4 linked regions of the Lepisosteus oculatus genome follow. The protein of the gene in region 3 interacts with the protein of the main gene of each other region in a biochemical or structural test. Links are inferred from orthologs where the notes say so. Each region holds a gene or a part of one and is shown on either strand. Other genes may lie near its edges. The genes, in order: tarbp2, eif2a, eif2ak2 and dnajc3a.

The links.
Region 1: the proteins of eif2ak2 (region 3) and tarbp2 form a complex in vitro, tested with the Homo sapiens proteins (2 studies listed by BioGRID, with this or other methods). The link is inferred for Lepisosteus oculatus from reciprocal best matches to the Homo sapiens genes EIF2AK2 and TARBP2.
Region 2: of the proteins of eif2ak2 (region 3) and eif2a, one has a biochemical effect on the other in vitro, tested with the Homo sapiens proteins (4 studies listed by BioGRID, with this or other methods). The link is inferred for Lepisosteus oculatus from reciprocal best matches to the Homo sapiens genes EIF2AK2 and EIF2A.
Region 4: the proteins of eif2ak2 (region 3) and dnajc3a form a complex in vitro, tested with the Homo sapiens proteins (2 studies listed by BioGRID). The link is inferred for Lepisosteus oculatus from reciprocal best matches to the Homo sapiens genes EIF2AK2 and DNAJC3.

What each region holds. Positions count from the first base shown.
Region 1 is NC_090696.1:17,891,940-17,900,024, forward strand, and holds the start of tarbp2 (RISC-loading complex subunit tarbp2), read left to right. Parts: upstream 1-5,037; 5' UTR 5,038-5,207; coding exon 5,208-5,260; intron 5,261-5,657; exon of another isoform or gene 5,658-5,756; intron 5,757-6,507; coding exon 6,508-6,677; intron 6,678-7,416; coding exon 7,417-7,519; intron 7,520-8,002; coding exon 8,003-8,072; intron 8,073-8,085. Other genes in the region: pleckstrin homology domain-containing family A member 3-like, read right to left, coding at 291-427, 1,187-1,342, 2,937-3,053, 4,385-4,433. UniProt on the Homo sapiens protein: Required for formation of the RNA induced silencing complex (RISC). Component of the RISC loading complex (RLC), also known as the micro-RNA (miRNA) loading complex (miRLC), which is composed of DICER1, AGO2 and TARBP2.
Region 2 is NC_090708.1:2,572,341-2,579,488, reverse strand, and holds the start of eif2a (eukaryotic translation initiation factor 2A), read right to left. Parts: upstream 3,012-7,148; 5' UTR 2,987-3,011; coding exon of another isoform or gene 2,944-2,986; coding exon 2,916-2,943; intron 2,366-2,915; coding exon 2,296-2,365; intron 1,961-2,295; coding exon 1,889-1,960; intron 1,574-1,888; coding exon 1,455-1,573; intron 1,147-1,454; coding exon 1,047-1,146; intron 675-1,046; coding exon 592-674; intron 1-591. Other genes in the region: stress-associated endoplasmic reticulum protein 1, read left to right, coding at 5,598-5,681, 6,166-6,241. UniProt on the Homo sapiens protein: Functions in the early steps of protein synthesis of a small number of specific mRNAs. Acts by directing the binding of methionyl-tRNAi to 40S ribosomal subunits.
Region 3 is NC_090712.1:6,726,648-6,733,994, forward strand, and holds the start of eif2ak2 (interferon-induced, double-stranded RNA-activated protein kinase), read right to left. Parts: upstream 3,210-7,347; 5' UTR 3,066-3,209; intron 2,224-3,065; 5' UTR 2,212-2,223; coding exon 2,105-2,211; intron 1,154-2,104; coding exon 1,018-1,153; intron 185-1,017; coding exon 36-184; intron 1-35. Other genes in the region: gpatch11 (G patch domain-containing protein 11), read right to left, coding at 4,463-4,518, 5,403-5,484, 5,879-5,986, 6,248-6,338, 6,613-6,733, 7,165-7,206.
Region 4 is NC_090710.1:7,087,766-7,095,513, reverse strand, and holds the start of dnajc3a (dnaJ homolog subfamily C), read left to right. Parts: upstream 1-4,541; 5' UTR 4,542-4,650; coding exon 4,651-4,732; intron 4,733-6,791; coding exon 6,792-6,902; intron 6,903-7,311; coding exon 7,312-7,436; intron 7,437-7,748. UniProt on the Homo sapiens protein: Involved in the unfolded protein response (UPR) during endoplasmic reticulum (ER) stress.

The sequences.
Region 1 (8,085 bases), on a different chromosome or scaffold from region 3:
TAGTGAGCAACATGGAGTTAGATAAAGACAAAAACACAGCGGCAATCAATTTGCTTTTCAGGTTTTTTCCCCCCACTTTCAACTTGTTCTACAATTTGTGGCAGAGCTTTCTTAAACTGAATCCACGCCATGAGTCTTTCCTCTGGCACGGATCAGTAGTAGGTGCTACTAGAGCTCTTATCATCAGGTCATTGCTGATCAGCAGCTGGGCTTTTTAAAGACAGCGCCACTCCTGGGTTATAAAGCAATGCAAGGCAAATTGGGAAGGGCGAGTGGCGCTGGCAAGATACCTGTGTGTCTGGCAGCGTGCCTCCCTCCCCAGGCTGGACAGAGTGCTCGATCTTGTGGACCTGCTCCATCAGCAGATCACAGTACAGCCGCAGCTCGGACATCTTCCCCTTCAAGCTCTGGCTGGCCTCGTTCAGCTCTGCGCAGGGAAGACACTGACTCAGGCTTCACACGCGGCTCAGAGGAGCCCACTGCCTCCTGCTGTGAAGTTGGCGGCCCTCCACACCGCCTCCCTGTATCCCACTGGCACAACCAATACTGCCTCCCCACAGATATCTTTTCTCCTCCCAGAGACGAAGCCGTCCCCCCACGCGGCTTCCCACAAGCTCATCAGCTCCGATCGGAGGCCTCACTCCTGGCCTGGCACCTCTGATAATGAGCCATTGCGGATTAGGCACCGGACACCAGTGCACACTAGTGTACAGTATGTAAGGAAGCACATTTAAAACCAAGAGCAGGAGGTTTTCCTTTGCACAGCAGGCCAAAAGCTGGCCAGCCACACTGACAAGGACATACCCTGGCTCTTTATTCAAGAGACAGCTGGATGAGATCCCTGGGGAAATGTTCCGAATGGGAAAGGTATGCAGCTGAGCTAGATGGGGCAAATGGCCTCTCTGACTATTCTTCTGACCCATCTCAGCTCTGTGTGCCCCATCACAAAGCATCCCATCGCCTAACTCAGTCCACAATACAGGATTTTGGTATTTCCAGCCCATTGACTGGTTAATTTACCCAAGTGCAGAAGGTCGCTGTAATAATTACGGAGGAGCTGAGACACAGACTTGCGCTGGAGCTGAAAGGAAGAGTGCAGGTGGCCGAGCTCTGCCCGACTCCCTCGGCTGTGGCGCTCGAATACCCCGGGCTGCGCCACCGGGCTGCGGTTCCCCCGTGACCTTGCCTTTCTCCTTCTTTGTCCGGCTGTCCGCCAGGCAGGCCTTGGCGGTGCCAAGGGCGACCAGCCACCTCTGCCTCTCGCCCGCTGTCAGGGCCCGCAGATAGAAGCACTGCTCCCCGGGGATCACCAGGTCCACCCGCGTGCCGTCCGTCGGGTGCACTGGAGAGAAACACGGGACCCTGGCCTTAAATCGCAGCCACGTCCTGAAGCTATTGGCAGAAACGCTGGCAGAGACCTGCGCCTGACTCCTACATGATCAGCTCTGCTCCTAGAGGGTCGCCGGGGGCAGTTCAGCAGCACTTGCAGGTCTCCTCACCTCAGCAGCGACAGAAGGGTTAAATTCACTTAATAAAGACTCAATTGGTCCATAAGTAAGCCTCCTGCACTAGTGTGAAGCCACTGGCAATGTAAGCCCTCTACAAGATCCCCTTCTTTGCTAACAATCAAGTACACTGAAAACCAGGGAGGGGGCTGGAGGGGGTCGATAAGAAAAAGCCATGCAATATATTGAGCTATCCCTCCAGTTCTATGATCCAATCGCCTTGCTCTTCCTAACTTTCAGAGCATTTTCTGCAAGCATTTTGTTGTAGCCTGAATGTAGCCAGCAGCTCTATCACCCCACAACTGGCAGCCCACTGGAGCTCAGCAGGTTCGAGCCTCTTCAGTACCTGGATGGGAGACCTCCTGGGAAAGCTAAGGTTGCTGCAATAATAATAATAATAATAATAATAATAATAATAATAATAATAATAATAGCTTACACTTATAAAGCACTTTTCTGGACACTCCAGTCAAAGCGCTTTACAGGTAATGGGGACTCCCCTACACCACAACCAATGTGCAGCCCCACCTGGATGATGGGACGGCAGCCATAGTGCGCCAGAACGCTCACCACACATCAGCTGATCAGATGTGTTAGTAAAACCAGTAGAGGGCGAACACCCTACAGTCTATATGGGTCCTAATGCCCCAGTGCAGTGATGGGGAGACTATACTGTAAACTTCATATGAGACATAGATCCAAGGTATGTACACTCTGTGGTCATTAAAAATCCCAGAGCACATCTTGAAAAGAGTAGGGGTTTTACCCCAGTGCCCTGGCCAAAATTTCTCCTTGGCCTTCACCAATCATGGCCTCCCAATAATCCCCATCTCTGAACTGCCTTCATCGCTCTGTTCTCCTCCCCACTGATAGCTGATGTGCAGTGAGAGTACTGACACATCATCCAGGTGGATGCTGAACATTAGTGGTGTCGGAGGGGAGTCCCTATTGCCTAAAAAGCACCTCGAGTGGAGTGTCCAAAAAGCATTCCATAAGCGCAAGGAATTATTATTAAATGAATCAGTAACGCTATGGATATTTCAAGACATTTTCTCTGCTTGTGAACAGCACCATCACCACCAAAGGGCTGCAGGTCTGCACATTACTGTACTGCCGATCAATTCTTATCTGCTGTAGCAGACCCACGTGCTAAAATGCTACCTTTATGGTTTACCTGCAGCCACAGAGGCAAGCAATAAAAAAGCAGCAGTAGGCCACCAGCAGCCAATGCCCTGCCAGTCATATTAAACCCTTTCTTATGAGTCCAGCAAACCACGAAGGAAAGGGAGCTTTGAGAAAGGAATCGTGGGCCCAGCCAGGGGTCACAAGGTCGAGCAGATCCGATCCCCCCCATCTCGAAACAATGCTCTTCCCGCAAGGGAAAGTGGCCCACGGTGTGTCCATCAAGAAGGGTGCGGCAGCGCCACCTACCTTTAATCTCACACACCGCCATCTTGATGCTCCCCTTGCTGCCCTTCCCCACGTCCTCCAGGGAGTCGTAGTAGGACAGGATTGTCCCGTCCAGGACGAAGTAGCGGGGCTGCCACCCTTCACCCCGCAGAGGCAAGAGAGGGAGAAAAGGATTGGGATTGAGAAACGGGGCCAGACTCTGGACCACAGCAGATATTGAACTCGGGATAAAGATCAAAGACATCAGAATTAACATGACATGAGAGAGGTGGGTGGGACACTGATGGAGGCCACTTGTTCTACAGTTACTAGTCCGATGGGTTTTAATAACCGAACCTCCAGCTGAATTATTTTGAACGACTATTAGAAGCAACACGAGAGGAGCTGGGACACACTCCGGCTCTGAAAGCTACCCAGGTCCCGTAGCGTTGTGCCGACGAGACGACCCGCTAGCCGTTCACTACAACCTGGGGAAGCAACTTATTGAGCAGCAGCAACTGTCATGAAGGTCATGATCACTTACAGTTAAGTGGAGGTTGTTTTTTTCCCCGTTCTGCAACACAAACGCGAACCCTTTCCAGTTTAACCAAGTCTAAGTTAAAGCACTGACCAATAACAGTCAACCTTCAAATTTTCCAAGTGTGAAGCAGTAGCTCACCGGCGTACGGATACTGTATCTACTGTACTGAGAAGCTGATATCAAAGAGCTCTTTAAAAACAACAAATCAAGCACTTTTACGCACTAAAAAGGGAGGAAAAAAAACTTAAAAGCGTCATTTTTTAAAAGAAAGCATAAGTAAAACAAATTCAACGCTCGTGTTAGTTTTTTTTTTACATTTAAAACGCTTCGGTTTAACGCAGGAGAGATTAAACTTTTCTTCCCCCTTCACAAACCCGTGACGCATCCAGAAGGAAGCTAGATGAAAAAATTAGGAGATTCCTCTGAAATACAGTGAAGGTGCGACTCAGTGGCTTGGAAATATGACTCGATCGAAGCCTCCATGAAGTGGATGGCCGTTATACGTTATGTTCACGGAAAACAAAAAAACAAAAAGAAGTTCGCCGTTAACTATAACTTTGTTACAGCTGAAGTTAGAATGCGCAGACATTTGAAATAAGCGAAACAAAACCTAAACCAGAAAACGATGTAAAAATATCTAAGAGTTTTAGTACGGCTCACAAGTGCGCACGCACATGAATGTTAAATTCAGTCTGCTACCGAACAGCTATGCTACGTTTACAAAGATGCTTTTGGCCGAATGAACCGACAAAACTTGTTAAGACTGACAGCATCGCCTCAAGACTCGCCTTCACCTGACAGTCTTTCACTAATAAGACAGCACGCTAAGATTTAATACTTTTTCGAGCGGTTTCGAGCTACTTATTAATTAATAATGAATCACCCGATAAGTAGTTTGTCCACTTGTGCAAAACCCCCTCCATAGCCCGGCGACAACGATAAAACCCACCGACCAGTCGGCGACGGAGGAGCGAACCGGTGCGAGCGATACACTGCATTGGCCTGGCTTTGCCCAATCAGAACGGAGTAAACTGGAACAGAAAGCTGCCGATTGGCCGAAACTCATTCACACCACCCCCTCCCGCTACGACGGAGCGACTAGGGTGACTAATAACGTACTAATAAGACCCACCAGCCAATCGCAGCTCAGAGGCGACACGAGTAGGGTTTGCTGGGAATTGTAGTCCTTAGTTATAGCCAGTTCTTGAGATGAGCAGTAACAAACTTTAGTTGGGTGGTTCTTCAAGGGAGAAGACGCTATTGGCACGTACTGATAGTATTAAGTGCTCGCTCGATTCCACCCTCAACCGACACGCTGAGATAATTGCCAATGTACCCAAATACGTTGAACATATGATTTCAGGTTTGGAAACGTGATGCGTGGAGCATGAATTAATACATGCGTCCAAATCTAGAGAGGCTTGCATGCCGCACGGGAATTTTACCTTAGTCCTAAATTACGGATTCGCGCACGTGCTCTGAAATTGACCGTGCACATATGTACAGCATAGCTCCAGATTCCCTTCCGGTTTGCATCTCACTGGCACACGCTATCGCATGTAAACGTTTTGCATTTTTTTTACCCTTGTTGAAAAAAAACTACATTTCCCAGAATGCAGCTGCTCAGGCCCGGATATGGGAGCCGGCTGCTGCGCTCAAGAGCGGTTGTATGTTGCTGCTGAAGAGGCTGTGAATGAAAAACACCGGTTAATTTGTTCAAAGGGGGGTGTCCGGAATCCGAAATTATCACGTTTTCGTTCCGTAAACGGGGAATGAGCGACGAGAAAACCCCGGCTAATTGCAAGAGAAACTCTGGGTGCCCAAGGTAAGCCCCGAGCACTACCGGGGGGCAAGTTGCAGAGAATCGTGCCTTTCGCGTGCGAAAGAATGAACGGTGTGTGGGATTTCCCTGTTAAAATATATTCGTTTAGTATCCACTTATTTCCCCCTTAGCAGAAAACAGGATTCTACAACAAAGGCTTGTTTCGTTTTTAATACGAAATTATGCACTAAATTGTAACGCAAACATGGCTGAGTAACTTGCTTTTATCCGTTACCTTGACGCGGTCGTTTGCTACGCGTTTTGTTACAGTCCCAATAAACATTTGGGTTATGAAATTCTTCGTTCTTTCCTCCGGCTGATATGTCTTTAAAAGGGGTACCGTTACCGGTTTGCTCGCACACATCTTAATAAAACGACCGCGTTTCTCCCTTGAACGCACTTCTTCACAATGTTGAGAATTCGGATGCATTTCTGCTCGAGACCGATAGTCAGCTGCTATTCCGACACCTCGAAATCCTGACCCATCACTCTGTTTCTGCTTTCTTCCCCTGTCGAGTCCTTCTTTTATCTCTCCAGCTACCTCTCCAATATCTATCCGCGGGGGGCAATTTAGGGATGTTGGCCCAGGTGTTCCCAATTCTGGTACTAAGGGATTCACATCCCCGCTGGTTTGTGCGCCATCTGAGCGCATAATTACACGATTGTTCCCTTAATAGGTTTGAATTCAAACTCTTCAATCGTTTTCAGTTCCTAAACATGGAGGACAGGGGTGTCCGGTGCAGGAACCGGAGGGCAGCTTTTGACAATGTAAATAAACACATGGATCAACTCGATCAGTTTAACAGCTTCTCAAGTACCGCTGCATTAAAGAAACCTGGAACAGACACTTGCAGACACTGATGTAGGAGGCTGTCTTTTAACTTGGTTGTAGTTCTTAAGTAACTAGGATCTCCAGTCTTTGAGAAGAAACTTTCAAAGGTTCTGACCAAGCAATTTGTTGATTCAATGAAAGATCTCGGCTGCCATAAAAACATATGTCTGTGGGATCCCAGGAATAGGATTGGGAAGCCCCGTACTAGCATATATCCTAGAAAAAGTAGGCATTATTGGTATTAATTACTTAATTTTAATTAATTACTTCACTGAACATCAGTTGCTTAATTAACCCAGTTGCCGAGGATACAATAGCTGTTTCCTCACTCAATTTGTCAGAGTGTCTACTAGGAGGAATGCCTGTATTGATCTAGTCTTTTCAAACAAGACTTTTTTGTTTCATTCCCCCTCATCAGTATTGAGCAAATGCTGGCTTTGAACCCCGGAAAGACCCCTATCAGTTTGCTGCAGGAGTATGGAACGAGGATAGGGAAGACCCCGGTGTACGATCTGCTCAAGGCTGAGGGACAAGCACACCAGCCCAACTTCACCTTCCGCGTGACCGTGGGTGACATCAGCTGCACAGGTGGGTCGCCGGGCAGGCCGCGAGTCTGCGCCCGGATTTCCCTGGTGCGTTTCGACGGGCGATGTCATCAGTACTGCAGCCCTGTCCTCTGAGAAAACAGGGACTCCGTGATCCACGATCTGTGATCCTAATTTTAAGACAAACTTCAACTTTGAAACTGTAGATTGAGATATAAAAGAGAGCCAGCAGGAACTGGGGGTGAGATTTTGCCTGTGTCTGCCTTTGGGATTTGCCTTTAGCCAGAGGCATTCCAGAAGAACAGCTTATTTAATTTTATCGATATGGATTAAACTTTGCTTTTTTTTCCAGGAGGATTGACTCAATTACTGACTCAATTAAGGAGACCTTCCTGCACAGGCCTGACTTAGCAGGCAATTTTAAAAGATCTTACAAACTAATCAATATAATAACAGTGCTGGTTCCAGCCAAGCTCTTGACTTAGTTGACCTAACACATTGCTTGCAAACTTTTGCACGTTTCTGTATACTAAAAGTTGGCAATCATAACTTATTAATTGAATGCAGCGGTTTAAAGGTCCCCTCTGAAATGTAGTCCTATTAATAGGTAAATTAAGAGTTCAATTACCTGACTTGAGAGATCAGCTGGAACTTGAATCAGCAGCGGTGGGTGTGTCCAGGGCCAGGGCTTGTAGATCCTGATTTAAGGAGAGCTGTGAGAGCTGCTCTTGAAACTCGCCTTGGGAAGTCCTGCTGAAAGCTGTCCTGGGTCTGTGTTGCAGGTCAGGGGCCTAGCAAGAAGGCAGCCAAGCACAAGGCAGCAGAGGCAGCACTCAAACTCCTGAAGGGCGGCACCATGATGGAGATATCAGCTGATGGAATCAGGTGGGTGTGTCCGGTGCCTCTGTTACTCATAATAAAAGTGTCATCTTAGTCTGCAATGTCCACTGTTATCATTTCTTCAGGCAGTGATTTTGCATGCTTTTTATTTCCATAGACTTGGTTTCAGGTAGTGTTTACAAATAGTATACCCTCCTCCAATTAGTCAAGATTCACCTTTTTTATGGTCCCTCTGTCGGCTTCCACCTGTTTACATGAGTTGTACTTGGACCTGGTGCCATTCTTCATAAACATGGAATGGGAGTGAATCCCGAATCTTAAATCTGCCTGAACACCTGCATTTGGACCCAGGACTACTCCTACTCTGGTATAGCAGGGAGTTGACAAAGAGGGTGTTTTTCCGTTTTCCCCTGTAGTTAAAGGCTGAGTAGTTATTTTCGGCTCAGACCTGGGTTGGTGGCCCCCAGCGAAGGGTGCGATCGTGAGCAGTTCGTTGACTTGAACTTGGTGTGTTTCTTCCTATCCCAGCTCCCAGTCTGAGGCAAAGGTCTCCAACTCCGTGCAGCAGGCAGAGTGCAATCCCGTGGGTGCTTTGCAGGTATGCTAAACTG
Region 2 (7,148 bases), on a different chromosome or scaffold from region 3:
TGAAAAGCAACTTTGCACATGCAAGCAGTAAGAGGTACAAGCAAGCACCCTGAACACAGGCAGTTCAGACACCTAGAAACAATCTGTTCAAACCGAGAAAGTGAAATATGCCTATACCTGAATCTCTGCGTCGATTTTTTCTGCTACACAGTGCTTTTTACACATGTTTATACTTGAGGAAGCGTGATAATTGCCTCTGAGCTTCACAAAAGTCTTTAAATATGACACATTGACACACCAAATTTAGTTATATAGATGTTGACTCAGATGATAATTTACAGCTGAAAATTGGCGACAGAAAATATTATTTCGCATGCCGATTTATAAGGACCAAAGAAAAAAGCACATCTTCTCTGAAAGCACTGCTCTGAGGAAATCAGCTCTCAGGTTTTAATACGTTTCCCACAAGGAAACCAAGGGATGAAATTTAGAAGCGGCTTCAGTCCCCTTGTAAACAGATTTTTATTATCCAGCCACTTTCAATTAGCACCCAGTGTAGGTCGGGGTCAGCGCTGTCACAGAACTGGGGCCGCCACCGCGGTTTCTTTAACTGCTGCAGTAGCTCATGCTCTTAACGTAAGCGCTGCTCACCAAATTTGTTATTTTCGAAAAAATGGAGCTCGTTGTTTACATTCCTGACGGCGATACTTTCATCATCGGACCAGGTTGGGCACCTAAAGAAACAAGAAAGGGAGTTAAGCGCCACCAGTGTGGAACGAACCCTCGTTCGACACCTCTAGGATTCTCTAGCATCACAGCAGCTCTTCACTTTGGGGTCATCGGACTCGTCAGCAACATTTCACCTGCTGTGTGTCACTGTGACCGTTTATGCATTTAATAATTGTTAGTGCATTTAAAACCACGCACCTTTTGTTTACGTAAAGGGTCTAGAAAAGGCAGCCCAGCCATGTTGTTGAAGACAATTCCCTGATGATCGAGATCCCTGGATCAATTAGCTACCAACTACCAGACGAACGAGAGGGGGCTGAATGAACTCCTCTCGTCCGTAAGTGTAACTCTGCTCTGAAAACCCCTGCCACACTTACCAGCCCTGCATTTTCTTCTGGTAGAAAGATTTAAGACACTTCCCAGTCTGCAGATCCCACAGGTGAAGGTTAGGGTCTCCTTGAGCACTCTCCTGCGTTTCTGGGACAGACCAGAACAACACTCTGATTTTCTGATTTCCAGCACAGAGCCAGAAACATCCTATTTTCTTCATAGAGGAGCATTCTGCCCCCAAATACTGAATGTGAGACCTTTTAAAAAGGAATAAATGTGTGTTTAAATGTGACGGTAGCATAAACACTCAGTTTAGACAGAGTATCCTAAAAGGTTTGTGCATGAATGTGGCCGTATCAGAGACAAAGGAGGGTGATTGCTCTCTGTGCCACAGAGACAACTGCGTCTGTCAGGCAAATGCAAGAAAGGAGGGAGCTGTGTCCGGGGATACATACTGCTATAAGGCTGCCATGTTGCCAGAATGGAGCTCTTGGGAGAGAACTCCAGACAGGCCGTCTTTGGGAGGTCGAGAGACTGCAGGACTCTGCCATCTGCCACATTAAGTACACTGACCCTGTGAAGGAGAAAGCCACACGCTTCTGTCCGGGCTCATGCTCCAGTACCGGCATTCAGTTTTATTAAACACCGGACCAGTATCCCTTCATGAGCAACAACACAGCTCGGCACAATCGAAATGCACACAAAACAGAGACCAGTACAATTTTACTGAAACACAGCGACAGGATTCATGTTTAGTTAGCTTATTTATTCTATTGCACTACTTCATCGACAGACTCAAGACTTCATCAGCAAACAGGCTCAAACCTGACTATTTGCTAGAGCCAGGGCTGGTCTGTTCTCCCCTCTCGGGGCCAAAGGCATCACTCACTTGTCTCCATTGCACCAGGCGAACAAGGAACCATCTCTGCTAAACGTCACAAATTTACTTGCTCGTCCATCCCTGGAAAAAAAAACCAGATCAAACAGGATTTAGGAGAACGCCATTTAAACACAATTGTTGGCGTTCTCATCATCTCACCACTGAAACAGCACTGACAACAAGCAGGGACATTTAAGTCATTCCAGAGCATGTTTGAACTTAGATCGTGCACCCGTATCAACCTAAGAACAACTTTATCATTTCAATTTCCCCCTTTATACTTGTTTTAACCTGGGCGCCAGACAAATCAAGCGAAATGAAAGTTTTTAAGGCAAACTGACATGTTTTGAGTAAAAACGTTAACTGGAGAAATACGCACTGTCTGCAGTCAAACCTATAACCCTGCAATAACATACCTTTTAAAGACAGTATTTTCGACACAGTCTGGAGGGCCATAGATCATGGATGTTCCATTCGATGCGCGAACTGTTGACAGCGATAGTGACAGAAACAATGTCCTCTTAATAAAAAAACTGTAAACGCCAAACACAGTGTCTGCACCTGAAACCCCGGAAGGGCAGGATCGCTGCTTCGTGTTCGCCAAGCAAATTGTGTAAAACGTCGGGCGATCTTTTATTTCAGAGCATAACCGAATATAAAGTCACCCGAATATAGCTTTATCGCCTTGAAGGGCACATACTGCTTCTGATCAAGATCACGGTTACACATATAATACCCAAAACACACCCAGGGTAGTACACAGTTTAAGTTTATTATTTCAGTTTATTTACATTTATTATTTCTTTAGTTTTATGTTTGCACCTAGAAATAGCGTGACCAAACTGTGAATGGTGTAGTGAACGGTTCTACAGGGATGTTGAGCAAAAAACATCTCTCTACTCCTAGATAGTTTCACTGGGCAATCTCGGACATCCACCCGTGTTACACGGCCAGTTAACTAAATTTGTCTTCCACATTTTGCCGACTGCCTCATAACCACACACGACCAACAAAGCAACATAATCACGCTACCGACCTGCCAACACTGGTGTGGGGGGCGCCATCTTGCACCGGAAGGGGAGGGACAGGAAGTGAGTGTGGGCCCATGAGACAGACACAGGGAAAAACACGTCGACAAAACCCGACCGCATCACCCGAAACGCGTGTACGTGTATCAATGCACACGTCAGGAAAAAAAAAGGTCCGGCCGGGAATTCCTGCTGGTTTCGGCTTCAGAGTGCTGCTGTATTGCGATACATAGATATAAGAGTATAACACCTGATTTAAAAGTAATACTCTGCATATTTTGATTGCTGTTGCAATGAAAATTAAATGGCTCTGATATTTCAAAGCTTTTTTTTGTTTTTGGCATAAGAGATGAATCATTCTGTTGCCAGAGCAGTAACAATTTGGAACATAATTACAAACATTCAGAACAAAAACATAATTCTATTATTTGAGTGTCCAGTTTCTACATCCAGGCTGTGGTCAGTGAGCCCGTCCTCTCTGGGCAGCCAGGTCTGCGTGTGTCCAGTTTCTGTGCCCAGGCAGTGGTCACTGACCCTGTACTTCATCGGGTCTGTCTCTGCTCAGTGGTCTCTCCCAGTTTGCGGTGTCCCAGTGTGTGAGGCAGTCTTGTCTGGGCAGTGCTGTAACTTGGTTGACTAATTTTGGGGGTTTCAGCAAAAGCTGGTTGGTTAAAGCCGAGCGTCATGGTAGAGATTTAAAGGAACTTTTAATTAGCAAATACTTATCACTAATTAACATTGATACTTATCAATTTTACTTCTTGTCCACATAGTTCTCACGCGCCATTGTTATAATTCTTGTTAAAATAGGAACAGTTACAAAGGAGAGGGGGCACTAACCTCATCTATCTATCTCAAGCCAGGGATTGTGGGTTTGTGTCTCATCTGGGGAGCGTGCTTTTAGGGCGGAGTGGTGGCTCTGTGGCTCAGGATCTGCGCCTGTGGCTGGAAGGTTGCTGGTTCAAATCCCGCAGCCAGCAGAGGAATCCTACTCCTCTGGGCCCCTGAGCAAGGCCCTTCACCCCAACTGCTCACGGGGCACTGTATAAATGGCTGACCCTGCGCTCTGACCCCCAGCTTCTCTCCCTGTCTGTGTGTCTCATGGAGAGCAAGCTGGGGTCTGCGAAAAGACACATTCCTAATGCAAGAAATTGTATAGGGCCAATAAAGTGATCCTATATTATTTAGTGGTGGGAAGATAACTGATCTGAGCATCTTGCCCTGGCCTGGGCAGCTTGTTCCAGACGCCACACAAACCTTCATGAAACAAGCGCCCCAAAGTGTGGGGTTTCAAAGTGAACCCCTCGTTTCCACCTGTGTCTCACGGCTCATGTTCGATAGCTCAGTCTGAAGAACCCTGCTGGGTCGACAAGAGCCTTCGAGGACTCTGAGTAACCGGGCCGGGTCTGGAACATAGTCTCCTCGCATTCGCGGGGTAAACCAAAACTTTCTTCTCTTTAACCTCTCTCTCATACAAATAAAAGAAAACACACAAACTTCCACAACATGACAATTTTCTCTTTCAATACACATATAATATCGGTGTGGCTCTGTGACTGATTTTTTTTTTCATTTTAAGTTAAAAAGGATACAAAGGCAGGCTCAAGTAAAAAGAAAGAGACAGAATTCCGTCAACCGAACCTCTCCCGCGCCAACATCATCAGTTTCTTTTTGCCTTTGTATATCCGTTTCAGGTTATCAATAAACTGTGTAAACTGGATTTGTCCATCATGAGCCATTAAGAAGGTCTCTCTTGCCCTGCTAAGGAACTCGATGAATTCACTCGCATTTCACATTCTCTAAATAAATAGTCTTCTCCGATCAAGACTTGAAAAGGTTTACTTCCTGTTTTCAGCTTGACAAGTTCTCCTCTTGACCCCGTCACACAGCTGTCGAACTGTCTCTGTTGGCCTCCACAAGAAGAATACAACACAGCAGAGATCTTCTGCGAAGCACAGAGGGGGAAAGGAGGAAGGCAACTATCGTCCTCCTCCCATCCTCTCAACCTTCGCTCCTCTAATTCTGGTCTCCTGTCTGTCCCCCAAGCCCGTCTACACTCTGGGGGTGACAGGGCCTTCTCCTGTTACGCCCCCAATCTCTGGAGCTCTCTCCCCAAGGAGATCAGAGAGTCACCTTCTCTCAACTCCTTCAGATCCAGACTCAAACCCTTCTTCTTCAGAAGAGCCCTTACTGAACTGGTTCTGTTCTTTACCCCTCTGCTCCTCCTGTATTCAGTCCCCCCCTCTGCTGTCTCCTCATTGTGCACATCTTGTGTATTTTCTATTGCCGTCACTCTCTCAAGTGCTTTGAGAAGCCACCTTTAAATGGCGCTATATAAAATAAAGTTATTATTATGAATCATGATTTTTATGGCGGACTACATCGCAGGCCAGGCTGCCCGGCGGAAGGATTGCGCTGGCCGCGGCGGCGTGGGCAGGCGGCGGGAGGGGCCGAGCGTGTGTCGACGCAGGCAGGGGCCCCTGTTTATTACAGCCTGGTGCGGGGCGACACATCGCAGCTGGCGAGCTGGCAGTCCTCTCCTGATATCGGCATTGCACACATCATCACTACTACTACTACGACCACCACCACCACCGCCGCCACAGCAGCAGCAGCAGCAGCAAAGCACAGCCCGGCCCGGGGACCGAACACAGACGCACGGAGGAGAAAAGCAGCAGCAGGTTAACAAGATGGTGGCGAAGCAGAGGATTCGCATGGCAAACGAAAAGCACAGCAAAAACATCACGCAAAGAGGCAACGTAGCCAAAAGCACGGTGAGTCCTGGCGTGTCTCTGACGGAGAGGAGAAGGTGGGGGAGTCGGCGGCGGCGTTAAAAAGTGCCCGAGTTCCCCCTCTCCTCCTCCTCCTCCTTCCTCTTCCCCCCGCGGGGTCCGTCTGGGGAGTCGCGTTTCTTTACTCCCCCCCAGCTCTGTGCAAGTGTGGGGCGACGCGGCGATTCCTGCTCCGGTCCTTAAAACGCCATCATCATCATCATCATCAGCAGCAGCAAAAAATCACAGCCCCCCGCCCCAGTGCGAGGAGAGCGGCCGGGTGGTCGGGCTGGAGCTGGCGAGGAGAGGGGCGATTGCGCGTCTCGGTCGGTGCCGAGTAGATGCGCGACGTGTCCGGCTGTCAGAGGGGCGACTTGCCCCTGAGCCCCTCTACCCCCCCGCCCCAGCAGCTCCTACCCTGGGGGTGTATCTTGTCACTTTCCACATTTTCATCTCGGCTTTTTTTTGTTGTCTGTTTGCTTTTCAGAGAAACGCTCAGGACGACAAAGTCTCCGTCGGACCCTGGTTGTTGGCGCTGTTCATTTTTGTCGTCTGTGGGTCAGGTGGGCTGGAGTCTTTTTTTTTTGTTTGTTTGATTGTTTGTTGTTGGGTTTTTTTGGGGGGGTTTCTGGCAGCTTCCCCCCCACCCGGGAGGGTCGAAGTTCAGTTTAGTTTGCTTTCCTTTCCTTTTTCGCATGTTCTCGGTCACCCGAGCGCTGCTTGTTCGTGGCGTTGGCACGCAGAACCGGGCGAAGGAGGATCTCCTGTGTACAACAAAACAAAACCAGAAAGAAAAAAAAAACTAAGAGGGGTTTGGCGTCGGAAAGGTGAGAAGTCCGAACGCCAGGTTCCTTGCACGGACTTCTCAAGTCTCCCGTTGGCGTGTCGGATAGTATCGAAACCGTCGGCTGCGCGGTGCGCCCCTCGGAGGGAGACTTCGGGTTTCAGTACGACTGCACTTTCGTGTCTGCTAGCGCCGTGGAAACACCTGGGGACACGCGTGTTTCCTGCCGTGCAGGGCCGGCGGGCGCAGGGTGCTGCTCTCGGGATCGACTCGCCGGCTTATCTCGGCGATAGGCGGCCGGGCTTGTTGACACTGTATCTCTAACCTCCTCCCCCCCCAGCGCCCTTGACTCGGGATTAAAATTTAAACTTTTTATCTGCACTGCTCTTGTATGCAGATGTCAGATGCCTGTGGGTTGCGTGACTGCCGAGCCCTCAGCAGGCCTTTGTGCGGGTGTTTGGAGGACTGGCATCTGGAGAAATTGTTTGTTTTTTTTATCCCTCCGCTCCTGCAGGGAAGAGGGTAACTTCTCCAAGATGTGCGGGGAGAGCTCTGTTCGGGAAGCCCGATCGGGTTCTGAAAGCCTCCGAAATGCCCCCTGTGCCCTCGGCAGCAGGTCCCACGAGCTGGGCTTTAGTGGCCCTGTCAGCAGGCTGAGGAGAGGAACAGGGGGCAGTTGTCCTGGG
Region 3 (7,347 bases):
CTTGGTTTTTTTTTTTGAGGTGGCTAAATTCTTACTGTGGCATGTGTGGTGGGCCTCCATCGCTCCTCTCAAAGGGCTGTACAAGTACCCCTTTCTTCTGACCATATTCATTCAGCCAGCACAAATGGTTAATTCCCTGAGTAGACACAGGTGAAGGACAACTGGATTCCCTGCTGCTGTTGACCTGCAGTAAATGGCATTGAAGCAGATTTTATATTCATTCACAGGTTCTAAAATTTCACAATAGGTTTTTTTTCCTAATTAAATTCAGACCCTAATGCTGGTTCTCAGTAAACGTTTTCCGCATCTCTTGGGAATCAATTATCCATCCATCCATTTTCTAACTGCTACTTCCAGTTCAGAGTGGTGGGGGAGCTGGATACTATTCCTGGCAAGCAACAGGCACAAGGTGACAGACAACCTTGGACAGGACATCAGTCCATCGCAGGACAGACAGACACACATACTCACATCAGGGCCAATTTTCTCAGAAGTCAATAAAGCCACCAGTTTGTTTTTGGACTGTGGAAGGAAACTGGAACACCTGGAGGAAACCCACATAAACACAGGGAGAACATACTACCTCTATTCAGACAAAGTTTACGTATTGTTTGGTCTTACTTAAGGGGGTCTTGCAGTTTAATGTTACTTCCTCACAGTTCTTGGGTCCTGCTGGGGGTGCCTCCCAGGTGTAGTTCACATGATCTCTCCAAGACCATGTGGGTGCTCCAATTTGCTCCCAAAATCCAAAGACCTGCTCTGTTACTAGGTGGATATCTAGGTTAATTGCCATCTCTAAACTGTATGTACACTCTACAATGAACGGGTGTACCATTCAAAGTGCATGCTGCCTTGTGTCTATTGTCTGCCAGATTAGGCAGTGGATCACCACAACCTTGAATTGGTCTAAGCTATTATTTAAAATGGACAGATGGTATATTTTATTTGAGTATACATACTGTAAGCATGGTCAAGGAAAGCACAGAGTAAGAGAAAACCGCCCACGCTGATACTCACAGGGTCATTCTGCTGAGAAACTTCGACCCATAGCTTTTCCAAAGCATTTTTTGCGGCATTTTGCTTCGCCTCCCTCTTAGACATTCCAACGCCATCAGGATAAGCCTGACTGTCCAGCACCACTTTCATTGTGAATCTGTATAACACAATAATGCAAACGTACTGAGTGCAAAAAAATAACTCTTAACGGGTTTTAATCAAATATTTTAAGTATGGAATATAACTGTCAGGCAGAATCACAGAACAGAAATCCAAAACATTTTCTGAAATTCAAAGTGAGAATGTTACAAAATAAAGTTACTCTAGTAACTCAGCCTCCTCTGAAAAATGAACACAATCCCAGCACAACTGATGCATAGGTCTGATTGGCCTTTGGACAGAGTCCTGTGGGACTGTCCACCACTCTTCCTGTGCAGCTGCAGACAGCTGGTGAAGGCCGGCCAGTCATGGTTGACTTGAATGCAACACATTGCTGTTGTGAGCTTAGCAGGTGCCCCTATCTAAGGTGACAGAGTGTAACATATTGTAAATCCTCCAGGTGGCAGGAATTACATTCACAAGATGCCTCCTGTAGTGTGCTTACATCGTCTTCCTGCAAGAGTGGCCACTTTACAAGTAGTCTTAACCATGTTGTATGTTCCTACTAAATGTGTTACCTCCTTTAATTCCCCATGGAAACAGGAAATCTTCTGAAGCATCTATATAGTTCCAGAATATAATTCCATTAAGGTTCTAAACTATAGTTCCAAAACACTGTCTTGCAGAATATCATTGTCAAATTTGGATTTTAAAGGAATACTTAGAAATGAAAAAAATGGAATTCAATTTATGATAAATATAACTTTGTACAATGCTATTGTGATTGCAGTATAACATTTATCACTGTACTGTTACTCAATATACATTTTCAGATCCATAAAGTGCTACATGATGATTTTGAACGTGGAATGAATGAGTTAGGAGGTGTTGTCATTTTGCCCCTTTCAGCTTTTCAGTGAAATAAGCACAATCCACTCTAAATTGTCTAGCTGCTTAAAATCTTGAACCTACAGTATAAGACTTGATCAAACTTTAGGATAAAACTTACTGTCTAACATGGTCTGGCCCTTCTGCGGAAACCTCCACATATTGCAGGGATAAATTATGTTTTTGTCGATATTCATTCAGTCTTCCCACATAATTCATTTGAGACATTGTAAAAAATACCTGAAAGACAATTAAATACTTTACCTAATGTCCTACTGTAATTCTGTACTCTTGACTGTTTTTATTAATGACAGCTCATCTTGGTTTTGAGAGAAACATGTTTTTAAAAAAACTGTATCATCTTATAATTAAAGTTTCTTAATAATGCAACATCATAACAACAAAACACTGATGCCAAAATGTAGCATATGCTAAACACATATCTTTTCTTTCCTCACAAAAAGTAGCATAATTCGAGTGGTCATATAAATATTCTCTTATGATACTGTTCTCTTGCTTTGGAAAACAGACGACTATTTGGACGTTTAATGCAGACCTCTTACTCCAATATCATAACAGTAACTTGAAAGCCATATTAAGCTTGATTCACTGCAAACAGAACAAATGACGTTTAGTCACCTTCACCATCATTAACATCAATAACATTAACCGATACAGATAACTCATTTATACAAAAAATACATAAAACGAGATTCCTTCACACGAGAAGTCCTACTTGTAAACAATGCTGCCTATGTCATAGAAGAGTCTTGACTATAATAAAAATGAAGAACACAAAGCAATTAACAGTGTGCCCGTAGCAATTGTTTATGGAAAAGAAAAAAACATACAAATAATTAAGAAATAATTCTGATTGTTACAATGTGATTGCAGGAACATAGCTGGAGAACGCGCACTAAGTGTTAAATCAAACCAGTATCAGTACTACAGTTGCCGATAAAAATAACGTTCGTGTACGCTGCTGCAATCCCCCGTTCTTGAACCAACTCCTAACAAAACGAAGCTGAAGATTAAAACCCGACGTTGACTCTAATCTCGCAAATAAATATCAGTATACTTACAGATCATAAACCTATGTTGTGCTTGCCGTACCTGCAGGTTAGTGCACGACTGACTTTAAATTTCACTTCACCCTCTCTCCCCTTGCAGCTCAGCAGCAAAGTTTAGTTTCATTTCCCACTCCAAACGTCACAGCTAGAACAACTACCGGTACTGCGCAGCCAATCAGCTCCGCCAGCCTGCTAAAATATGATACTACACTGCAGGACGGGAGCTGGCCTGGGGTTAAGTTACATTTTAAGAAGGATTTTTCTTTCTAAAATGATGATATTACGTGGTTTCAATTTATGAGGATGGAAAAAATCGAATGATTTGTGCGTGCTAACTTCAGTTACCAATACGTGTTCTTTGTAATTTAACATTTTAGGAAATGCATTACATTCCGGGTAACTGAACAAGTATGTCGTTCAAATTGCAAACAAGAACGTGTCTTTTAACCTTTGAAAATGTTTCTATCCCAGCACACTGCAAAACAACATAAAAAGATTTTTTATATTCAGATATGCTTTTTTAGATTTCTGGTCTTTTCTTTATAACTACTGTCACTCTTAGTTTAGGTTACCCATATATTTTAACACCTAAAACACAAAAAAAGGAATATACTATTGATTAAACAATGAATTACCTTAACATTGGACATTGCATTGAACTTCATGGATGTGATACAAATGACCAAAGCATTACCAACAATGTTTCAACTTTAAGTAGTGCAAATGTGACTGTATTACATCCTATTGCAAGACTCGACCAAATGCTTTATTGAAGGTAAGCTACTGCAACACATGAAAATATTTTATTTTCATTTTACAAAAAGGACAGTACATAAAATATACAACTAAACAACACAGATGCAATGTGTACTAACCACTTTTATGAATACACTTAAAAACAAATACACCATTGCATTTTAAACACATTATTAATAGTTCATATTTTAGATGCAAGCAATGATGTTCTATTTGTTTATATGTTTAAATCATAAATGTTTATGATGTTTATACATAGAATTGCACAATTTGCAAAAAATTGTAAATAAAATTGCATGTTATTATTCGTATTCCATTTCATGACCACAACAACACAACTAATGCATATTTTACAATGTCAACATATCTGTTAGTATTTCAGCTCTAATTGGATCTATCACGGTGAATTGTAAACCTTTATCTCCTTTATATGTAAACCTTAAACTTTTGTCTGCTGTTTTGTGATTGTGGACATCAGATCACGTCTACTTAATCACACATCCAAGGTGTACGTAGGATCAGCTTTATCCCACATCTAGGCCTGTTCCGTCTATATTATTGTTCCCAGAAGGGCCTCCTCCTCCTTCTTCTTGTGAAAGAAGGGCATCATCTGAAAAGTTTCAGTTTCCTGTTCAGCCCCTCTTCTGGCCTGATCAGTCATGGGCTGCAGACGAGTCCCCAGGGCAGTTTGCTGTCAAGTCTTCTTCATCTGCAGGGCAACATAACTTGAGTCAATTCCCAGCCTACAGCATGCATACTTGCGTCAACAAAAATGTTGGGCAAAAACCTATCCACCTCCTACCATGAAAAGTTTGAACAATTTTGCTTGCATGTCAAAGCAAACATTCTCAAATGAACATACTATATATAAAATTTTACTTTTGAAACATTTTTTTCCAAAAACAACATTGACGTTTCTTCCGTGTTCAAGGAGTGACGGGGGCATTCATTACCGTCACTGGAACAGTCGTTACCTTGGAAACTTAATATCTGCGAAATAATAGTTCCAGCAGAATTTTTTAAAATGGGACAAAATAGAGAAGTCCACCACAAAGCAGTTTTTAAGATCTCTTCAGAGCCTCAAAAGGTCTGCATAGTTTTTAGAGAGTAAAAATAAAATATACTATTGCTGAGGTGTAGATTAGTAGGTGTAAATTAAATGATCATATTTAGTTACAACAATCATTACTGCAGCCTAGTTCTTTACTTTTTTTTACAGAGCAGCTTAGACAAACATGAATATGAGTCATAGTGACAGTCAAAGCCCTGAATAATGCAAAGTTTTCCTAATGGTATGCCACTTGGGAAACACTGACCTAGAGAATTCAGGTATGTTCAGTCTATAACCTACTAAAGGAGAAAGGAATATTACAATGTTTCGTAGTTTGTAGCCTATGAAGTTAGAAAAAATACTCATCTAAGTAACAGTTATTTAAAAAAAATAATTGTTCCGAGGCCATGGATTATAGCAGAGATGTATAGCTATAGCAGTACAGTACTGAAGCACAGGTACAATCAGCTAAATATTTAAGATAGGCCTTAGAACTTTATTGTAGTACATCCTGCAGTAATCAATGCATTTCTTAGTCTTACCATCGTACGATGTCCCACACCATATGCAGTAAAAGTGCACTCCCCTCAGATATGATGTCAGAATCTGTAATTTTTCCAAAGGCTGAGAAAAAGAAAAAGTAATACTCTTTCTTAATCAAATAGTTGAAAGCAAAGAATAATAATAATCCTTACACTTACATAGCACTTTTCTGGACACTCCACTAAAAGCACTTTACAGGTAATGGGGATCCCCAGGGTAAACATCCCTTTGGTACAAACAACTGAGATTTCTGTCTGATTTCATGAGACTCTGCAGATCTTATAGCTGTCTAATTGCAGCTGGCAACAATCTTAAAAGGTTTGATATTCAAGTAAGGAGATGAAATGCTTCGTGGCAAATCAAATGGTTATCTACACGCACAGGCAGAGAGAAAACAGTATTTTGTTTCCCTTGGTTTTCTTGACAAATTTTAAGGCCTATGCAGCAAGGTTGAAAGTGAAAGGGTATTACTGACTGTTAATTCCTCTCCCTCATCTTCTTCCTGCTCAGTTTCTTCCTCCTCCCCCGGCTCCTCAGTCCCCGACACTGGCCAGTACCAGTCCTCCCTGGGGGCATGGATCCCCTGAGGACATGGGAGAAAGAGCACATCGATCCATGTGACGTTTCCTCAGAAAAACAACTAGAAAACATAACTGCTCCTGAGCCAGGCCTTGATCCAACACCAACAGCCACCCAAAAGAGAATTAATGCTAGGCTTTATGCCCTGGTTAAATCCCTAGACATGTAAAGTGTTTATGTAAAATAAAAAAGTTGAAATGTGTAATGAGACTGTAAGCCCAGCCATGGTAAACCAGCCGATGGGAGATACTGTTTTGTCACTAACCTTCTGGCTGTCCAGCTGTTCACAGGCACGCTGGCTTTTCCTGAGATCTGCATCAGTTTGTCGTTCCTCCCTTTCCGTTCTCAGTCTGACTCTGAAAGGACCCGGAGCAGTGAGGAAGCCTCAGGATTTAAAAACATCCAATTACACTGTACTAAACTAGGGGCAGATTGTGTACCTCAGATCACTGACCACTGGGCACTAAAAACCTATTTCATTTGGTGAATCAGGCCTGATTGCAACATGGTTCTTCAAATAATAAATAGTTTACCCACAATAAAATAACTGATAAAGATACAAGAAAGCAAATAGGGATTACAATCTGCAATACAAACTATCAGAATATGTGTTGTTCTTTGTTCTATTACCTGAAGTCATCCAATGTTCTCTTCTCGACTTGCTGCTTAAAGTTTGCTTTTCGCCGGTAGTGCTCCAGCTTCTCCTCAGCTTTTCGTTTTTTCACTTCCTCCATCCCAATTCCTCCTCGATCTAATCAATAACAAGCACAGGGCTGTCCTGAAAGCTTTGCAGCTTCCGAGAGTGAAATATGTAGGATTTGAATAAGGACAAATAAGGTCACCTCAGCTGGTCAAATCATACAGATTATACAGAATGTGTCCAGACATTTACTGAATACCCACGAATAACTGGAAGATGACTTGATGATTTTAACATGCCCTGTTCAAAACATAGCTTGAGACTTTTTTTTAAAAAACAAACTCTCTCATTTTCACCATATTTTTTCATCTTAATTCACACCATAAACAGCACCAATATTATATATTAACCATTACATTTGTAAATGGTCAGCCATACCTGTTTTTAACTTCTATTTAATTTTTATTTTTTCTGACATACAAGAATGACCACAAATAAAGTTGAAAGTTTTCACATCACAAAACACAAAGTATTATTATTACCTGTTTTGATATTCAATGGGATAGGTTCAACTCTGCCAGCCCCTTTAAAAACACAAACAATACATTAACCAGATGTCTATCACCACATATATATATATACCACATATATTCACAGCGTGAATGTACAGACGAGAAGAATCAAAAACAACATCATTGTTTTGTGGACCATGAGGAGAAATTTGA
Region 4 (7,748 bases), on a different chromosome or scaffold from region 3:
GAGCCAGTTGTAGTAATCAAGTAGTACAAGCACAGAAAGGATCCAATATGTCCTGCTTATCAAGAGAAGAATGGCTTTGTGCCATCGGTATGTTGCAGGCTGGACTAAGTCAAGGCACTGTCAGGCACCATCTGGGGTGTTTACAGCTTATAGCAATGTCTAATCTGGCAAGATTGTGCAGCCAATTTCAGCCTGCTAATGACTGACCCTGATCTCAGAGTCACAATTCTGCACCAGGATTGACATTTCATCATGTTTATTCTTTACGATTTCTTTCACGCAGCCACTACAACAGAAGGAACTGGTCACAACAACCCCATGTGTCTAAAGTTAGGGAGCTAAACAGTCATCATTTAAAGAACAGACAAGCAAAGCAACAAGTGAGCCCAGTGTTGATCAATGCAATAGAATAAAATAGACTCACCAGGAATGCAACTAATGCATTTTTAATTTATGTTTTGTGTGGACCTCTCATAAAATGTCATTTTATGAGTAATCCAGACATGTAGAGCAATACAATAATTGGTGTGTACAGCAGACCATTTGAGCCAGACCAAGTGTGATAGTTTGGGCAGAATTGCTCTTGTGGTGATTAAGTGGAACAAAAAACAGAGGTGTGGGAGTCATAGTGGTATAGTGATTAGCATTGCTGCCTTTCAGCACTGGGGCTCTTGGTTCAATTCCAGACCCTGTGTGTGATCTGTGTTGGTTGTATGTACTCCCTGTGTGTGTGAGAGTTTTTTTCCACAACAAATGCTGGTAGACTACTTTTAGGAAAATTGGTATGAGAGTGTGTGTGTTTGTGTCTGTTCCCTCATGATGTGCCCTGTGATGGACTGGCATCCCCTCCAGGGTATACACACTGCTTTTTCTTATTGCTTGCTAGGAAATGCTCTGCCTCCCCTGTGACCCTGAGTTAGCTGAAGAGGTTAGAGACTGGATGGCTGGAAAAATAGGAGGACTGATGACGGAGATACACATCTCTTATCTGTGACAAGAGTAAGCACACTTTTTGAAACACTTATAGGACTCAGATCTTTAGTGTTTTGGTTAAACAGACTGAGAGTGGAGGGGGATATGGACTATATATACACCCTCATTGCATTTAATTGTATTGTTTTTATATTAACTATATTTACCAATTGAGAAGAAATAAAGCTCCAAACTGGAACCCACAATTTCACGGGATTTAATCCTCACACATCCATTTCAGATATACAGATCTTTTTAAGGCACTCCATTTTAAACACTTCTAAAATTCGAAAAGTTGCTTGACATATAAACTTTGTTCTAGTCAGGTAAAAGTCTGAGGTTTTGTGAGCGTAAAATACATCTTTATTACATAACACATAATTACAATACACAGTATAAGATTATCATTTACTTTATTTTTTTTCTGATTATGGACATCCTGATAATTGGTGAAATGGGCTACTAAATAAATTTCAGACTTTAGACCGTTTCTTTTTAGCACTTAACTATAATCATTCTTGTGGCTTTCAAATAAACTGGAGGGTATTCGTTTACAATTGTGAAGCTTTGGCTCCCCCAAATGGCCGTCGAAAGCATTGGCAATTTCTTCCTTTTAATCACCCTCCCTGAGACACCATCACGGAAAATAAAAGCTAGAATTGAGCATATTTTTTCTTTTTTTCCTTTTCAATATTCATTTTAGTGTTCGTGAACCTCGATGGCTGCAGGACGTGAAAAACAGTGGACAATTATAAAAACCTTTACTGTAGCTTTTAATATACCAATATTTATTCCACTGTATCAGCAAAATAGAAATCGACAAGCCAGAAGACAAAAACATAGCCAGAGTTTTCAAGCCTTCCAACCATGTCCATTAACTGTAACATTGATTGTGAATCCCCAACACTGCAGGGACATACTGCTTGGGGTAACCCTTAGCACTGCAGTGGACGTGTAGGCAATCTGGGATTGTGGGGACCATGAAACTGTGAAGGCATGTGAAAGCCCTGCAAATTTAAGAGAGGCGAGATGGGGAAAAGGTTTCTGGGTCCTATGTTACTGCCTAGGCATACTGTCCAGAGCAGCCCTAGGTGCTGCAACGGAGGAGCAGGGCAATCAGGGATTGTAAATCCCCTATAGTGCAGAGGCATATTGGCAGGGAGAAGCCCCTGTGAGACTTCTAGGCAGGCAGTCCTCTGGAACTCTGCAGGGCACAAGCTCAGATGTGCTTGAGCTCTGAAGACCTACTGCTAGGTAGGCGGGTTTTGGAGCTCAGCAGGCCGTGAGCTCAGACAAGATTTATTACAGTATATTCCAAATGGGATCCAGTGGACTTCCAGAAACTGAGGCAAGATTAGGGGAAAAGGATCTTGGAATCAGGGAAACACTGGCAGGTGGATAACGTGAGTACCTGCAGAGGTTTGCTAGGGGATTAAAGATAGCACCAGGAATAGAGTGCATCAGGAAGACCAACATTTTAGTAGGGGGACTGTCATAGAGTGAAAAACCAAGGTCCTTACACAGACACTTGATAATTACCAGACAGTTCGGGGGTGAACAGCCAGACTGTTCATTTGGGACATTTGATTCTGGTGACTGGGGTCCTGCTCGGGAACTGCTCTATGAGGAAGTTGTATTGTTTGTTCTGTGCATTGGGTGAGTGGTCATAGGAATCGGTGTATTATGAGGTTTTATTTACAGTATATAATGGAGTATTATGTATGATAAGTGTCTTGTCTGGTCTGTGGATGCACTGGTGGCTCTGGAGCTAGGTTCTCCTGAGCTAGGAGAAAAATGGTCCATCACCCTCTATAAGTGGCATATTCAAGGACATAGCAAAGCATTTAATGTGTTAATGTGTCACCCATACTGTGACAGTTGCACGACAGGTTGAGTTTCTTGAAACGGTTTATGACATGAGAGTAAAAGTGATCAGAACACCTTTTCAGGTGAAAAACTGATAAAAACACTTTATTTGGATATTGATTCACCAAGTTTCAATTAAATCAGTGCAGGGGTTCTTAAGATGGCTCCAAAATAGTCTTCAAATACTGAGGTCAGGCGAATTCTTGAATGATGCAAATTAAATGCTTCATCTGTTCCGCTATTCCCGTCTAAAATGAGGTTGTCTGCTCAGTCTACAAACATGAGCAATTGGGAACCAAAATAAATTTGATGTTTCAACGATTATGCCTGGACATTATTGTAGTAACAACCAAAAGAGGGCAGAGTTCTGTTCATTCTGTAGGAGCAGAAAAAAAATATGCTGGAATAAACTAATGGTAATATGGACAAAGTATTTTGTGTATCTACATCAAATTTAAATTAGTAATACGTCTAGGCCCGATTAGAACACCCTATAGTCCAATAGCACTACTAATTAAGGTCACAAAGGCATTTTAAACATGATGGACATCCCTTGTATAAAGCCTATTAAATACCTGTTACTAAAATATAAAAAATACTTGTTAATGTCACTAAAACATGACTTAATACCTTTTTTTTCAGTTATTAGACATGCAACATACATGGATTATACATTATATTTACTAGTTCTCAACAAGCTGTATTTCAGTAAAGTGATACAATATTGTTCCATAAAATATTGTGCAACACATTTTTCTCAATATTTTGTTCCTGCTGTCCATCAGTTTGATGTTAATAGTATATCTTGAACTGTTTATTTAGCAACATATTTTAAAGTTATTATATCATTTTTAATTGTATACTTATTATGCCACTGTCCAGTCCTGTAACTTTTGAGTTGCGTATAAAAAATGATTCTGATATAAGTCACCTTGAGTAAAGGTTTCAGCTAAAGAATAGCAATAATTAACGTCACAGATATAGCTACTTTGATACAGGCCTTCTTTGAAGTGTCTACAGTATGTAGTTTGCACAGGGTGATAATTATTGCGTGCCATCACTAATCGCTAAATTTAAACTTTTGCATGGTATTTGATATACAGTATATGTGAAACAACTGCAACCTATGTATTCGACTCATTAATTTTTTTATACCGATAGCTGACTTCTTCACACCTGTGAAAAAGACTCGCTGCCGAAAGGTTATTTTTTCTGCTTTTGAACGTAGAATTTACCTTTTCTTTCTTTGCACCCAAAGCGCGGTACCGCAGATGCCCACTGAAACCTGCAGTGAGAACCGAACTACCTCTCAGATATAATTTGTAGTGTAAATACTGTGTGACCCAAAGTCGTTGGAGTTTTAAAATTATCAAAAACATATGGATACCTGCACTGTTATGGCTCGAGTCGAATGTGAAACAGATTATAGACAAAAACAACCACAGCCTCTGTAATGCCACCATTAAAACAGAATAATCTACCTAGAAAACTGCAAGTAGAGAGGACGAGGTATTCTTACGAGTTAAGTAACTCAATTCGGATACTGCATGTGAAACATTTCCAAATCAGGTCCAGTTGACACGCTATTGCCTCCCCCCGAAACGCTGCCGTGGCTCCACGTTGTTGAATTAGAGGCAAGGGGTGGGATTTTAAACTCCTCCATCCAATCGGAGCAACCCACGACCAGGCGAGTTAACTTGTGCTGAACTTTAAAGGCTGGAAATAGAAAAAAAAACAGTATTGCAATTCCGCAAGGTTCTGGTAGCCTAAACTTCACGCTTAATTAAATTTTGTAACGTTTTAATATTAAACATGGTTTCAGTAGGCCCTTTTGCACGCAAAGTCCTATGTTATTTTTCATATATTCTTGTTTTGATTGACCTACGATATGAAGGTAAGTTTGTTTTTTTTTTGCCGTTTCTCACTGCCTTTTCCTACGGGAAAGATTATGCGTTTCATCTTCGCTCAATGCCGTTATTAAATTATTTTATTCTTCAGTAATTACCTGGACTTGACAAGACTTTCTTCAATTCCACGAACAGACGTGGCGTCAAGAAAGTTTGACAAGCCCGCTGGTTTTGCAGCTGGTTGGTATTGCCCAGAGTGCACAGTACCAGATGCGTGATGCCTCTTGTAGAGTCTTAGTTTATGGGGAGCAGTCGGAAAAATGGTTTATTCTTCCCAAGTCGCCAGAACCTATTTTTAGTTGAGTTCATTGCTAGAGTGTATGGATTTATCATTGTGTGCCGCCCAAAGGAGCTTGTATTGAGTCAAATCTAATAAAAGACGAAAAGACGTGCAGCAGTGCTCTGCTGAGCAGAAGCTGTCAGCGTGGATTTTAATGTTGATTGATAAAAACAAACTGCTCCGATGATTTCACATATAGTACAGGCTTTCTTCTGCGAGTATAACAAATAGCTGTGTGCCGTACTTGTTTTATGGTATAATAACGATTATGGTAGTAGTGAAATTTAAGATTTGTAAATGGTGTGGACTTCACGTGCGAAATTGAAGTTTTTTTTCTCACTTATTAGTTATTGTACTTCCTGCATTGTTTTTTTTTATAACTTCTTGATTTGTTTTTAAGGAGATATCGCATCATCCGAGTACTAGCTAAATTATTATATTGGAAATCGTATCTTGAAAAATTCTTTAGCATTTTTGGAAATGATTTTGCTGCTGCGGAAATGTTAAGAGATATGAGTTATGCTCATAAATTAAAAAGTGGCTGCTAGTTAAATGTGACCTTGGTACTGATTTTAGCTTTAGTAAGATATTTAGCTGAACGTGAAATTAAATCCCCTTTGGTCTTTTCTATACCTTTATAATTTGTGAGAAATCTTTTGATTTTTTTTTATGGGGAATAAATGGGGATATATAGCTGACTGCACACCCATTTAATATCAGAAGCTGAATGTCTCTTAAAGTTCCAGTTGCAACTCACTGATGTAAAAACCCCCTTTAATAAGTGTTTATACTTTTTTCCAGGTCTGTTAAATTGTCTGTAACAGTACCTGCCTTCTCGCCTGAACTGATATTTGCTTGTGCAAACGCTAATCGTGGACTAGTTGGGGACACTGGTCCCTCTGTACAAGAATCTAGAAACCATGCTCAAGGATAGTAACTGAGGACATTGTGCTATCCTTCATTTTTTTTTCCCCCCAAAATTTAAACATGTCTATGAATTTTCTAACTGCTCTATCCAATAGAGTTGTGGGGCAGCCCAAACCTATCCCAGCAAGCAACCCTGGATGGGATGTCAGTCCATCGTCGGGCACAGACACAGACATGAGCACGCTCATGCCAGGGCCGGTTTTCCACGAGCCAGTTAACTAGAACTGTGGGAGGAAACCCACATGAACATAGGGTGACCATACAGACTCGACACAGATAACATCGTAGAATTGAACCCAGGACCATCACTGTGAGGCAGCAATGCAAGCCAAGCTAAATTTCTTTAATTTCTGAAAAAACGAGAAGGAAGCAGGGCAGAAAGAATTAGCAAGTGTTATTTAACTGAAATTCTGATTACTTGCCATTAGAGATTCTATGGGATGTTGCTCAATCAGACCTTACTATTGCTAATATTAAGCCCTTAATTGAACTGGTGTTGCAGATTCTTGCTCTCTGATCTGCTGTGTAATGAGTGGGGCAGCATGTAGTGGCCATCACTAAGGTTTGTGCTACACTCCAGTGCTGAATGAAGTGTCCCCTGTTCTACTGTATGTAGAAAGGTTGGAGATTTGTTTGGATGGTGACTGCTATCTAAATGCAGTAAACTATTTCTCTGTTAGGATAAAGACTGTGAAAGAGAAGTGTGGAACAATAATGGTGCTAATGATGAGTTTATATTGTTTTTTAAAAGCATAGGTGGTGGAATCAGTTAGAAAGGAGAACACCTCTACTTTCAAGATTCAGATTACCTGAAAGCTCATGGCTTTTCCCCTTTGCAGGAGTGCAGTGTGGGAAGAATGCAGGACTCGAGAGCCATCTGGAAATGGGAAAGAAATTGTTGGCTGCCGGACAGTTGGCAGATGCTTTGTCTCACTTTCATGCTGCTGTAGGTCAGTATCTCAAATGAGAAAAACCTGATTTGGGAAACATCATCCACTGTGTTTTCTTTTTGCGATGAAGAAGCTCATCAAAAAACGCTTTATTTTGAATCAGTGCTGGGCTACAGTCCAGAAAAATAAAGCATCTGTTCTGTAATGTGTGTAAAAGTTTTTTTTCTTTTAAAAGCCACACCACTTTTCTGTTAGCTTATGCCAACATACTGCAGGGGGGGGGACATTAGTCCAGATATGCCTACAGCATTACAAACTAGAGACATACCTAGGAAGTAATGTATCTTTTGATTCTTTCTGCGTTGTGTATTTTCATAGAATAAACAAATTATTTCCAGCAAAGTAATATACCAAGACTTAAATGTGTATGCAGGCTATTATCATTTTTGTAATTGCTGTTGTTCAACAGATGGTGACCCCAAAAATTACCTGGCCTATTACAGAAGAGCCACAGTTTATCTGGCCATGGGGAAATCCAAGTCAGCTTTGCCGGATCTCAGTAAAGTCATTGAACTCAAACCAGATTTCACCTCAGTAAGTCAGTCTACAGATATGCCTTAACAAAATATAATTTCACACCTCTCTGCACCCATTCTGACTTCACACCTCTTGATTGGCCTCTCTTTCTGTCCCCTGCTCCCGCCTCTCACTCCTCCTCCCTCCCAACCTTTGTTCTCCCGCTACTTTACCTTTACCTTTGCCTACTGCCCTGTCTCTCTCACACCTGAAGAAGGCTCCACGGCAGAAACGTTGTTCTCTTTCTTCTTTTTTTCAGCATGGAATAAACCTATTACTTGTTCCTTAACAAAATATCTACTGGGAAGCCATTTTGATACAGTAAATTCT